Linked DNA regions of Drosophila melanogaster. The protein of the gene in region 2 interacts with the protein of the main gene of each other region in a pairwise test. Each region holds a gene or a part of one and is shown on either strand. Other genes may lie near its edges. The genes, in order: Trim9 and pico.

Evidence for each region.
Region 1: the proteins of pico (region 2) and Trim9 interact in a two-hybrid assay, tested with the Drosophila melanogaster proteins (one study listed by BioGRID).

Annotation. Positions count from the first base shown.
Region 1 is NT_033779.5:10,542,772-10,547,909, reverse strand, and holds the start of Trim9 (tripartite motif containing 9), read right to left. Parts: upstream 3,028-5,138; 5' UTR 2,507-3,027; coding exon 1,610-2,506; intron 1-1,609. UniProt on the Drosophila melanogaster protein: E3 ubiquitin-protein ligase activity. During embryonic and larval development, regulates the pattern of axonal projections of class IV nociceptive sensory neurons (C4da) downstream of netrin receptor fra.
Region 2 is NC_004354.4:19,848,874-19,854,040, forward strand, and holds the start of pico (pico), read right to left. Parts: upstream 3,187-5,167; 5' UTR 2,140-3,186; coding exon 1,990-2,139; intron 1,178-1,989; exon of another isoform or gene 1,072-1,177; coding exon of another isoform or gene 1,069-1,071; intron 1-1,068. Other genes in the region: Nup205 (nucleoporin 205kD), read left to right, coding at 3,475-3,696, 3,776-4,099, 4,187-4,288, 4,379-4,941, 5,006-5,167.

The DNA.
Region 1 (5,138 bases), on a different chromosome or scaffold from region 2:
TGCGCCACAGATACTGTTATCATTGCGCGTACTCTTCAATTATGAAATATGGTGAAAATGCAGGAAAATTTATCTATTCGAATATTCCAGTTTATAGTGCGGGTCTATCAAATGTACTATCGAAATAGTAATGTTTTTTTAACCTATTTATATGTATCTAATAGCCCACTTCTGCTGGAAATCCTGCTTGAGATTCTTAGTTAGATTACAGGTTAAACCAGAGACCAGAGACTGTGAAATACTTTTGCGCATTTGTTTTTGGGATACAAAAAATGCTTTCTATTCCTTCTGCCTTGTTATCCTTCGGATAATATCCTTCTTGACCTGACTAGACAGTTGATTTCCCTGCCTCACTGTCATCCTTTGTTTTGGCTGCCACTGCAATTTGTCACTTTTCGCACTTGGCTCTGTCCTTGTCGCAGTTCGTCCTCTTCCGCTGGCGTCGGTTTGTTGTCCTTGGATGACAGGATGTGCAGGCACTCGAAACATTTGCCATATTAAAATTGCTGCCGTTGACAATTGCCAGTGATTCGACGACAGACGGCGAATTCATGAATTCAACTGGCGAACGACAGGTGAGAGGGCCAAAAAAAACAACAACAAAACAAAAAATGCCACTGAAGTTCTGTGAAATGAAATTCCAAAAGGTAGGAAAACGAAACTTATCGCTGAATTAGCGTGCCAAAGTTGCGAGATTGTGGCACTTGGAAGGTTCCGTCAAAACAAAAGCTAACGAAGGTGGGTAGAAGTTGTAAAGAATTTGCTTTAATGAAATACTTCAACTGGCTAACAGACTCAGAGATACCCCTTTCAAAATGTTTGTCTGCAGTTGTGAAATGTACAAAAATTCTTAGTATTTTTTCAAGCCTTGTTGTTATCCTTTTCTACAGTTCCACATTCATAATACAATTTCGTTGATTTGCAAGCTGCTTTAAGCACCAATATTCCCAAATACTTGCAGCAAAACAATGTTGCATGAAAAATGTTCGGGGCCACAAGACAAGCCATAAATTTTCCACAAAAAAGCCAGACGAAAGGCAACAGTAGAAATGGAATACAATCAACTAAAAAGGAGGAAGCAAGCCAGGATGTGGCCAGGATATGCGATGCCTTCGCCAGCAAATACATATTTATTTCATGAGGTCCCTACTTTCGCCCCTAATTAGTTTGCCTCAATGCCGTATTTTTCTTCGACCCCCCCAAAAAGGACTCTTTTGATTCCTGGCAATGAATTTCCGGACATCACGGTCATATCATTGGCCTTTATTGGCTCTACACAAACTGCTGGGATCTGAACTTGGTTTGCATAAATAACCAATTCCTATTTGGTATTTCTTTAATTAGCACATCTTCCCTCTTCTGTCTTTCAAATAAAAGCACTTTGTTTACCAATAAATTAAACAAATATTTGTATTTGTCTGGCTGTTAGTAGAATGGTCTGCAATATTGACTGAAGGATTCGAGCATATTGTGCATTTAACAAATTAATTTAATAAATACTTGTACTTGTAGTATAGATTCAAGCAGTTTCTCGTTTTGATATGGCATATGCAACTCGCAATCATTAAAGTCAACTATTTAACTATCGAAATCCCATCACACAACTCACCTTTTGAGCCTTGCAGGTGACGTTGATGGACTGGACGTCGTGTGCCTGGTGGCGCAATTCTCCGATGCAAAGTCCGCAGGCGGGAGCCTTGCAGCTGAGGCAGTACTGGGAGAGGGTCTCCTCGTGCTCCCCGCAGACGGACTCCCTCTGCTGGGCGGCGCCGCGCGGCTTGACCAGCGTGTGCTTGGCCAGCGGTCCGCGGGCGGGGTGGGTCAACTCGCGGCAGGCGTCGCAGTAGCGAATCTCGCACTGCTCGCAGATCAGGGAAGCGACCTTGGGATCGGTCTCGCACATCTGGCAGCGGAGGGCCTCGCGGGCGCAAAAGCGATCCACAATGGCCTCCATGGCGCGGTAGGTGGGCAGATTCCTAACGCCTCCGTCGTCGAAGAAGACGAGCTTGCGGCAGAGCGGACAGGTGAGACAGTAGGCGGCTCCAGGCGGTGCCACCACATTGCCCACTCCTGGCAGCAGTCCTGTGCCGGCATAGGACACCGGACGCGATGTGTTCGAGCAGCAGACCACGCCCGAGTCCGCCTCGCTGAAGATGCTCACCTTGTCCGACTGATCCTGGTCGGAGGTGACGCTCTCGCTTCCGGTATTCGAGCTGGCCGTGCTGGCAGCGGAGCTGTGCGAGCTGTGCCGTGTGCCGGGTCCATTGGGATTTGTGACTGGAGCAGCTGCTCCGCCGCCGGCACCGCCTCCATTGCCATGCAACCCATTGTGTCCCGCTGCCGAAGCTGCACCCGCTCCGTTGACAGCGCCCGGTAGAGCCGATCCCGGACTGTACGGCGTCTGGATGTCCAGGGCACAGCCCAGGCAGAGGGCGTGGAAACATGGCAGCAGCACCGGATTGGCGTACAGCTGCTTGCACGTGGGACAGCGCAGTTCGTCCTCCATGTCTGGTGGTTATAATCCGCAAGAGCAATGCGATTCGGATTGAGTTGGCGAGGTCAGAGGTCCTGTTTAAATCGGTTTTATCCTCGCTTTAGTTGGGTTGCACTCTTTGGGACAACATGTCTTTGGTAATCCTCGAATTATTCACTTTACACTTTAATAAAATCGCGTTTAAAATCCTGTTTCTTGTTTACAACTTGTGCGTTAAAACCAAATCATAAATTGTTTTCCACATTTGAAACTTGCGCAATTTTTGTTTAGTTCGTAGTTTTTGGTATCTCAACAGTACCACACTTTTTACCAATCTTCACTTTGAATTCAATTTCAAGTCCTTGGAAAATTCACTTTTCACAAATTTTGTTAAAAATGTCCTTTGTTTTTTTTTATATATATATTTTGCAGTTTGTTTTCTTTCTATTCAACTTTCTTGCCACTTTGATTACGCGCCTAACTTTTGAACGCGACCAATTTCGATTTTGGGCATCCGCAACACGACCGATCCGCTTGAGATTTTTGAACGACTGGCAGTGGAATAACTTGCTTCCGCAGTCGAGGTTTCAATTCGAACTCGAATGCGTTCGACTGAGCGAACCAACTTCTTCATACCGAACTTCTTCAAGTTCGAATGAAATTAAACTATTGTCTAATAACCGCTGAAACATACGCAAAAATAATTATTGTAAAACGTATAAACGTAAAATAAAATTATTATTATTTTTTTTTTTGTTTTTTTTATTGTTTTTTATTTGTCATGTGAGTTAGTTGTTATTTGTTGACTGAAGTTCGATTCGAACATGAGCTGGCTCGATTCGAACATTCTAACTTGACAGTTTGACTACAGTTTGAGAGCGACTGCTTAAGAATAATTTTCTGAGTAAGCACTGGAAATTAAGAATTTGATATAAGGATATTAAAAATAATATAATAATAAATAAAAATATTTCAACAAAGCATTAAAAACAAATATGCGTTCAATTTCACTATCGCATTTTCTATCGTAATGCACGAATTGCCTTATCGTGAGATTGAACTAAAGCTATATAATATGATAAACCTTTATCAGTACAATACGTTTGTTTTACACCAGCTGCAGAAGTAATAGCAACTAACAATTATTCTTTTTAAGAATAAATAAAGTTTGTGATATTTTTATAATATTGTAGTTATATAATAATTGTACCAACTTTTAATAACAAAGTTCCAAGCAGCAGCAAAAGTTTGGCAAGGAACCTCACGACTGACCAAACTATTTGTCAACTTTGACTTGGACTTGAAGAGCTATTAATTGGAGTACCACCACTGTAAGTGGCTCAGGTAAGTGAGCAGGTAATGTCGGTGCCACCAGTGCACCACTATACCACTGCACCACTGATAAGCCCCGACCGGCCACCGACCCACTCGTGCACATGGCGACATTCCTAGTACCAAGTGCTTATATGAAGGTATGTACTACATCGCTCATTCCCCAATGGAGGTGTCAGCTACGTCGATTCTACGATCTACAAATATTATTGGACCACGCTGTTTGTTTGACTGATTTAAAATCGGACTCTGTTTCAGACCGTTTTCCAGTTTGTTTTGACACCGGAGCGGCCAACCGAGCGGGAAATCGAGAGCTAGCGATTGAGGATGGTGAAGAATTCCCCACGGTAACTGACATTCGATATCGGAAAGCTAAATACAAATAGGTGACCTGCTCTAGATGTTTATCTACACAGAGAGAAAATCGTTAGCATGATGGTGTTAAATAAATAAATAGCTTTCTTCAGTATGTATACCTTAGGAAAGTAATAATACTATTTCATATACTATATTTGATTCATTTTAAATTTAACAAAGGGTTTTTCAAATGGTGCTAACACAAAAATTGTTTAAAGTATTCTGATATTTTACAGATATTTTTTTGAGTGCACGCTATACAGCACGGTTAAGGAAAATGATGGAGAACGTAGCAAGAAAATCGTGCGGCGTGGAAAGTGCCTGACTCCCCCCTTTCCCAATTCAAGCATATCCCCACCCAGAGCAGTGCGTAATCCGTTCGACTTAATAAGCCACGTTCCTGCTGGAGTATTTGATCTGGATTTGGAATCGGGAGGTGTTAAGTGGCTCCCCACCTGAATGCCGCACCGAAGCCACCAGACGAACGTCTCACTCGACTATGCAAATATTGACAGGGAACGCATTCGTATGCTTAATTTGACTCAATTTATTGTTGTTTGCTTTACTTTTTCCCAGCCGAGTCCTTAATTTCCGCCTTGTATTCTTTTTCTAACTGACTAATAAATCACAAAATCGGACAGCCAGTGACGAAGAAAGGGGACGAGCTGGGCGCCTAATTGCCGTGGTATTGATTTTTATACTCTCCTGACCTATGTGTGAACTTTGGAAGGGAGATGGCGCCAAAGAATATGATACACAAAAAACGATAGCCTTAACTGGGATTGATGACATGCTTAATTATTGCATCATTTAAAAAAGACTCGTAATGTTCAACAAAATGGTACTAAATACAATTTTCAATGTCAGATATTGAAATGTATCTCAGATAACCAAACTTAAATCTTGATATGTATTACCGTGTATCTAAGATGCTAGTCTATTTATTGTTTAAACTTATTAGTAGTTATAGTAGAGA
Region 2 (5,167 bases):
ACAAAGCGACTCACTACATTAACATTAAGAATATACCTATCTGAATGAGTTACATTTTTAAAAGAAATTAAAAATAAAAAAATAAAAATTTAAATATTATGTTGTTAACGCAGTTGAAAGTATATTTCTTAAAACGTACATCCAATCCCTGGTCTTATAAACTGCCTTATATGCACGGAAACCAGAGGATAGCTTGAATTTAAAGAAAAAACTAGATAAATGTATTTGATAACTGCATAATGACTTCATCAAAAAAGAATTTACATATCGAAGTAGTTTTTTTTCCTAAATTGTTTCACACAAGATATGGAATTGGAGTGAAAAAAGTTGTCAAGTATTTTTGCAACATTTTTCAATGAGTTTTGTATAAACTCACTAGTTTGAAACAATCCAAAAATGCCAACTAACAGATTGTCCTGCTGTCAAGCAAACTGCTTACTCAACCTTTTATGCTGAGGTGTAATATTTGCTTTTGGGAAATGAAAAATGTGCGTGCTGGCCAAGTAGAAATGGTCAAATGGGCAGCGCAGTTTTTCAGAATTTGCTGACCTCTGCGCGCAATTAGGCAAATTTGACACGCACCGGGAGGCCAATTCCCATGTCCTCGTCCTTGAGCTGCACGCAGTCACGTCCTGGCATCCTGACAGTTCACTCTAAACTATATGTATGTGTATGTATGTATTTATTTACATAGATACAAAATGTTTGTGTGCAGTGAACAAAACCGCGACTGACAACAAACAGGGCTTACTTGCAAAGATATAAAGTATATATATATATATAAAACTGGAGGACTGTGGATAACTATTATTTTAAACATTTGGACTTAAGGGAATTCCAATTGTTAAACCATTTTTAAAAATAACAATTTTAAAGGTTAATTTCCTTTGTACCAAATGTATCTCTAATATATGTAAGATATACTTCAACTGAAATTACATCTATTGAGACCAGCCAAGCGATGTTCAAACATTGTTTAAATATATAGTTCACTTATAAACAAAATGTTTTTGTTGGATCTGATTATTATCTCGTCCAAATGGAGCCTTTGTTTTAACTGTTTGTTACCATTCTGATCCAGAAACTAATCGACCTTCCTGGTTGGGGTTGTGCCACAAACTGCTGGGAAGTGAAGTGGCTTAGGGGAGCGGGGCGACGCCCGCTGTTGCGGCAAAACAAAGGGGCAGCAACAACATCGCGTTTGTTGCTGTTGCCGCATGGTATCGCACATCGCCTTTGACTTTTTTCGTGTGGAATCGGGTTTTCTTCCGCCGCCCGCGCATAAACAAATCGAGAACCTCAGAGGCGAAAAACGAAAAACAGAACCACAACGATCGGGAACTCTTTTCAGCGTTTATGCACGGTGAAAGTAATGGGGCAAGAACGGAGAAAGAGGCGCAAGAGAGAGCGAAAAAGTTAGTACACCAATTAATGGGTCGGCATTCTGTTGGACTTGAAAGCATTGAGCACTTTTTGTGGTCGTTTTTGCCCCAGCAGCTGGTCCAAAGATTAATCATTCCGCTCTCTGCGTTTGCTTTTATTAATTCTCCTTTGACCCATCGAATGGGGGGAGTGGTAAAGTTTTAAGTTTCTATATTATCAAACTATAGGAAACTATATCCATGATACTAGTTGGGCAGTCTCAACTTTGGAGTACCGAATTTGAAGTCTTTTGATCACCTAGCACTGCATAACTAGGTTATTTTCATAGCCAAGGAGTAAAGTATACTGAATACACTCGAAAAAAAAAACACTAATAGAGAATTATAGTTAATACAATTACCAACCATATGTGAGTCTACCATTTGCACCGTTCTTACTATAATTTGAAGAAGCTGTACTTTAAAGGTATAGTTCAGTTTCTTCCTGTGTACTCTGTCCTATGACTTCTTTTTTTTTTGTGTGTGGGAGCGAATTATGAAGTACAGAGGAAATGGTCGAGCAACACAAACGCACACACACATTTGGAGAAACTTGGGAGATACTTACATTTGTTATTGTTGCTGCTTCCTCGAGGCTGTGCTGTTGTTGTTGCCGCTGCTGCTGGTGGTGTTGTTGTTGTAGCTGTTGCTGGAGTAAGTGCAGTTGTTGCTGTTGTAGTTGTTGTTGCTGATGTGCCGCAATACCACCACAATCCATAGTAATTACGGGTGCGAGGGGGCGGGGTTAAGTGTGTGTGGGAGTGGAGTGGAGTCGTCAATTGGGAGCGCACTCTCTATCTCTCTCTCTCTCTCTCCAAATCTCGCTCTCTGTATTGCTGCTCCTTCGCGCGATCGCTTACTGCAGCGGAATGAAAAGCGAAACAGACATAATTGAAGAAATGCGATAGCTCTCCGTCTTGAATTTCAACGATTCGCCGTAAGGGAGCGCTGTTAACCGCTATTTCAGTCACTGTTTGTGTCTTGTTCCTTTTTTTTATTTTTTTTTATTTTCAGCTAACTCTGCAGTTTGCCTTTGTCCATATTTTCGGTGGAAAAACCACTTCCTTGCTCTCTCGCTCTGGCTCCCTTGCTCTTCTATACCGCTCTCTCTCTCGCTCGCCAGGCGTTGCGTGGGCGAACGTAGGGGAGAGAGCAAGCGAAACGAAAAGAGAGAGGCGAACGCAGTTTGGAGTTTTATGCACTGGAGTTGTGAGTATGTTCGTGTGTGCCTGTGTGACTGCTACCCCCACACACTTGCACTGCCTCTCTTCCTCTCTGTCGCTCTCGCACACCCAGTACCAAGTACTCTGAACTCCAACTCCAGTTACAAATTCAATTCCAATTCGAATAATTCCCAATGAAATTTGAATTTTCCTTCCAATTGCACTGGCTTTGGCAGTTAGTATCCCTTTTGGCATTTATTGCAGCCGAACTGCGCCGATTGCATTTGCATTTACACTTCTACATCCACTTCCACATCCACTTGCATCGACAGCCAGAACCAGCATCCCACTATGGTGCAGTTCAGCCTGCCCGCGGCCATCGGTGATTCACTCACAATGCGAACAGGACACCACTTGGGCAGTGCGTTCGCTGGCCAAATCAAGTGGCGGAGAACAGAAAAAAAAAAAAACGCGAATCGGAACAAAACAAATGGATGCTACTATCGGGTAACTACGAAAAGTCCGTGCGTAGATTTTCACGAAAACGCCCCGCCCGCGCCGCACTGAAGTTGTGTTAGTTAGTGGTGCGACAACGCACCGATGCAGCGCCTCGATTATCGTTCGATAAGCATCGATTTTCCGATTGACTTGGTTCGAATCAACCGTTTAGCCAGCGCAGCAACCGCAGTTAGCGGGCACAAGCACCGAAGCGCGTACGAGCGTGGTGAGTTCGTACGGTGGTGAACATCTGTGTTTTCCAGTATTTGCAGCACCCAGCCCTGGTAACCGGCGCCTTGTCGCAAAGCGAAGCAATCTTGCCGCGTTTTATAGTCAATAACTGCGAATCAGCAAGAACTGCGTGAACTGAGCGAACCGCAAAACCAAGTGAAATGGATGGTGAGTGCCTGGCCAACGAGCAGATGTGCGTGGGTCGCCAAATCACTAATGCCACCCATGCGTCCACAGCTGTAATCGAGGACATGTGGACGCCGTACAAGCATTTGTACAACACTTTTCAGACCGCGGTGTCCAATCGCAGTGGCTTCACCTCGGATCTGGAGCAGTGCCTCAAGAAGTACAAGCACAACTTCAGCAACTTGCTGCGCAATCCGGTGGGTATAGCAAAACAAGCGCTTGCAGATCCGTAGATTTAACTAATTATTGATAATCCATTATTGAAAATGTCGGCAGCCGAGAAGCGAGAAGAGCCGCAATCTCCTACGAAATGCCCTCAACGAAGGCGTCCCGATGCAGGGGCATTCGCGAAAGACAAAGATGTCACAGGACCTGGCCGACGAGGCGGTCATTCTGTCCGACATGTTCGATCTGGACGAGGGTTTCGCCGTGGAGCTGCTGTGCACCGCACAGCGCCAGCAGAAGCATCATCCCGGCCTGTCCAGAGGCCTTGTCGCGGTGCTGCTCTACTACGATGGACGAAAGGCCATCAGCTGCACGCTTCGCGACATGTTCCAGGTGGTTAGCGGCGTCTCGTGGAACACCGAACTGCCCAAGGAGGTAAGTTTCGAGATTTCGACATCGCAGGCATCGCAGTGCCGCTGAAAGAGAGATTCACTGACCCTGATTATCGTTCTACGCACGCAGATCACCGGTCTGGTCACTAACTATGCCGAGAGCCTTGTCGACGGCTCTGGGATACTGGGACGCCTGCTGCAGCTGCTCGAGGAGATGGATGTCGACAAGGAGGTGGGTTTGTATGCGCCTGTTTCTGAAATTCTCTGAAATTGCATATCTTCCTTCGCAAATTGTTATTCATTTGTTGTCCAACGTTCGCAGTGCGCTATGCTGACCACAAACCGCGCGTTTGGCTCCAAGAAGCATCAGAACCAGGTGCTCGGCCTATACGAGGACATTCAACAGGCATTGGCAATGGCCCTGTTCAATTGGTCGGCACAACGCGGCCTGCCGCGACACATTGCCATTCGGCTGATGCACCAATTGGCCAACCGAAAGAACCACGACGCGGGCGGCAACATGGACGACGTGACCCTGATCATGCTGATGGCTCTGCTGTATGCGTACGATACCTCCATGCTGCTGGTCACCGAGGAACCCAATGAGCACACAACCCGACTTCCGATCTTCAGCGATCGCGAGTTCGCCGAGTGCTTCCTGGAGGAGCTGTACGCGCAGAGCAGCTGGCAAGCACCGCGCCTGAATGCCATCATTGCCTACAGCTTCGGACTAACGCTGGCCAGCCTGCGGCATGCACCTTTGCAGCTTCAGGCCACCGCCATCTCGATCATCAATCGCGATGAGATGCTCATCGACGAGGCACTGGGAGCGCAGGTATTCGTCTTCTTCCACAGCTTGCTGCTCGAGAAGGATCTGGTCTATAGGTGAGTACTGACAACTGAAGTGTCAATTGCCGATTCGCAAGCTAATCATCATTTGTGCTGACAGCACGCAGTTCTTCTACCGCCGCGTCCATCTGCTCATCACGGACTTCATCGACTTCATGAACTCCAAGGTGTCGGAGCTGCGCGGCCGAGCAGACGAGTCGTCACACACGATCATCAGCTTCCTAAACGAGGGTCTGGAACCGCCGCCCAACTTGGACTCCAA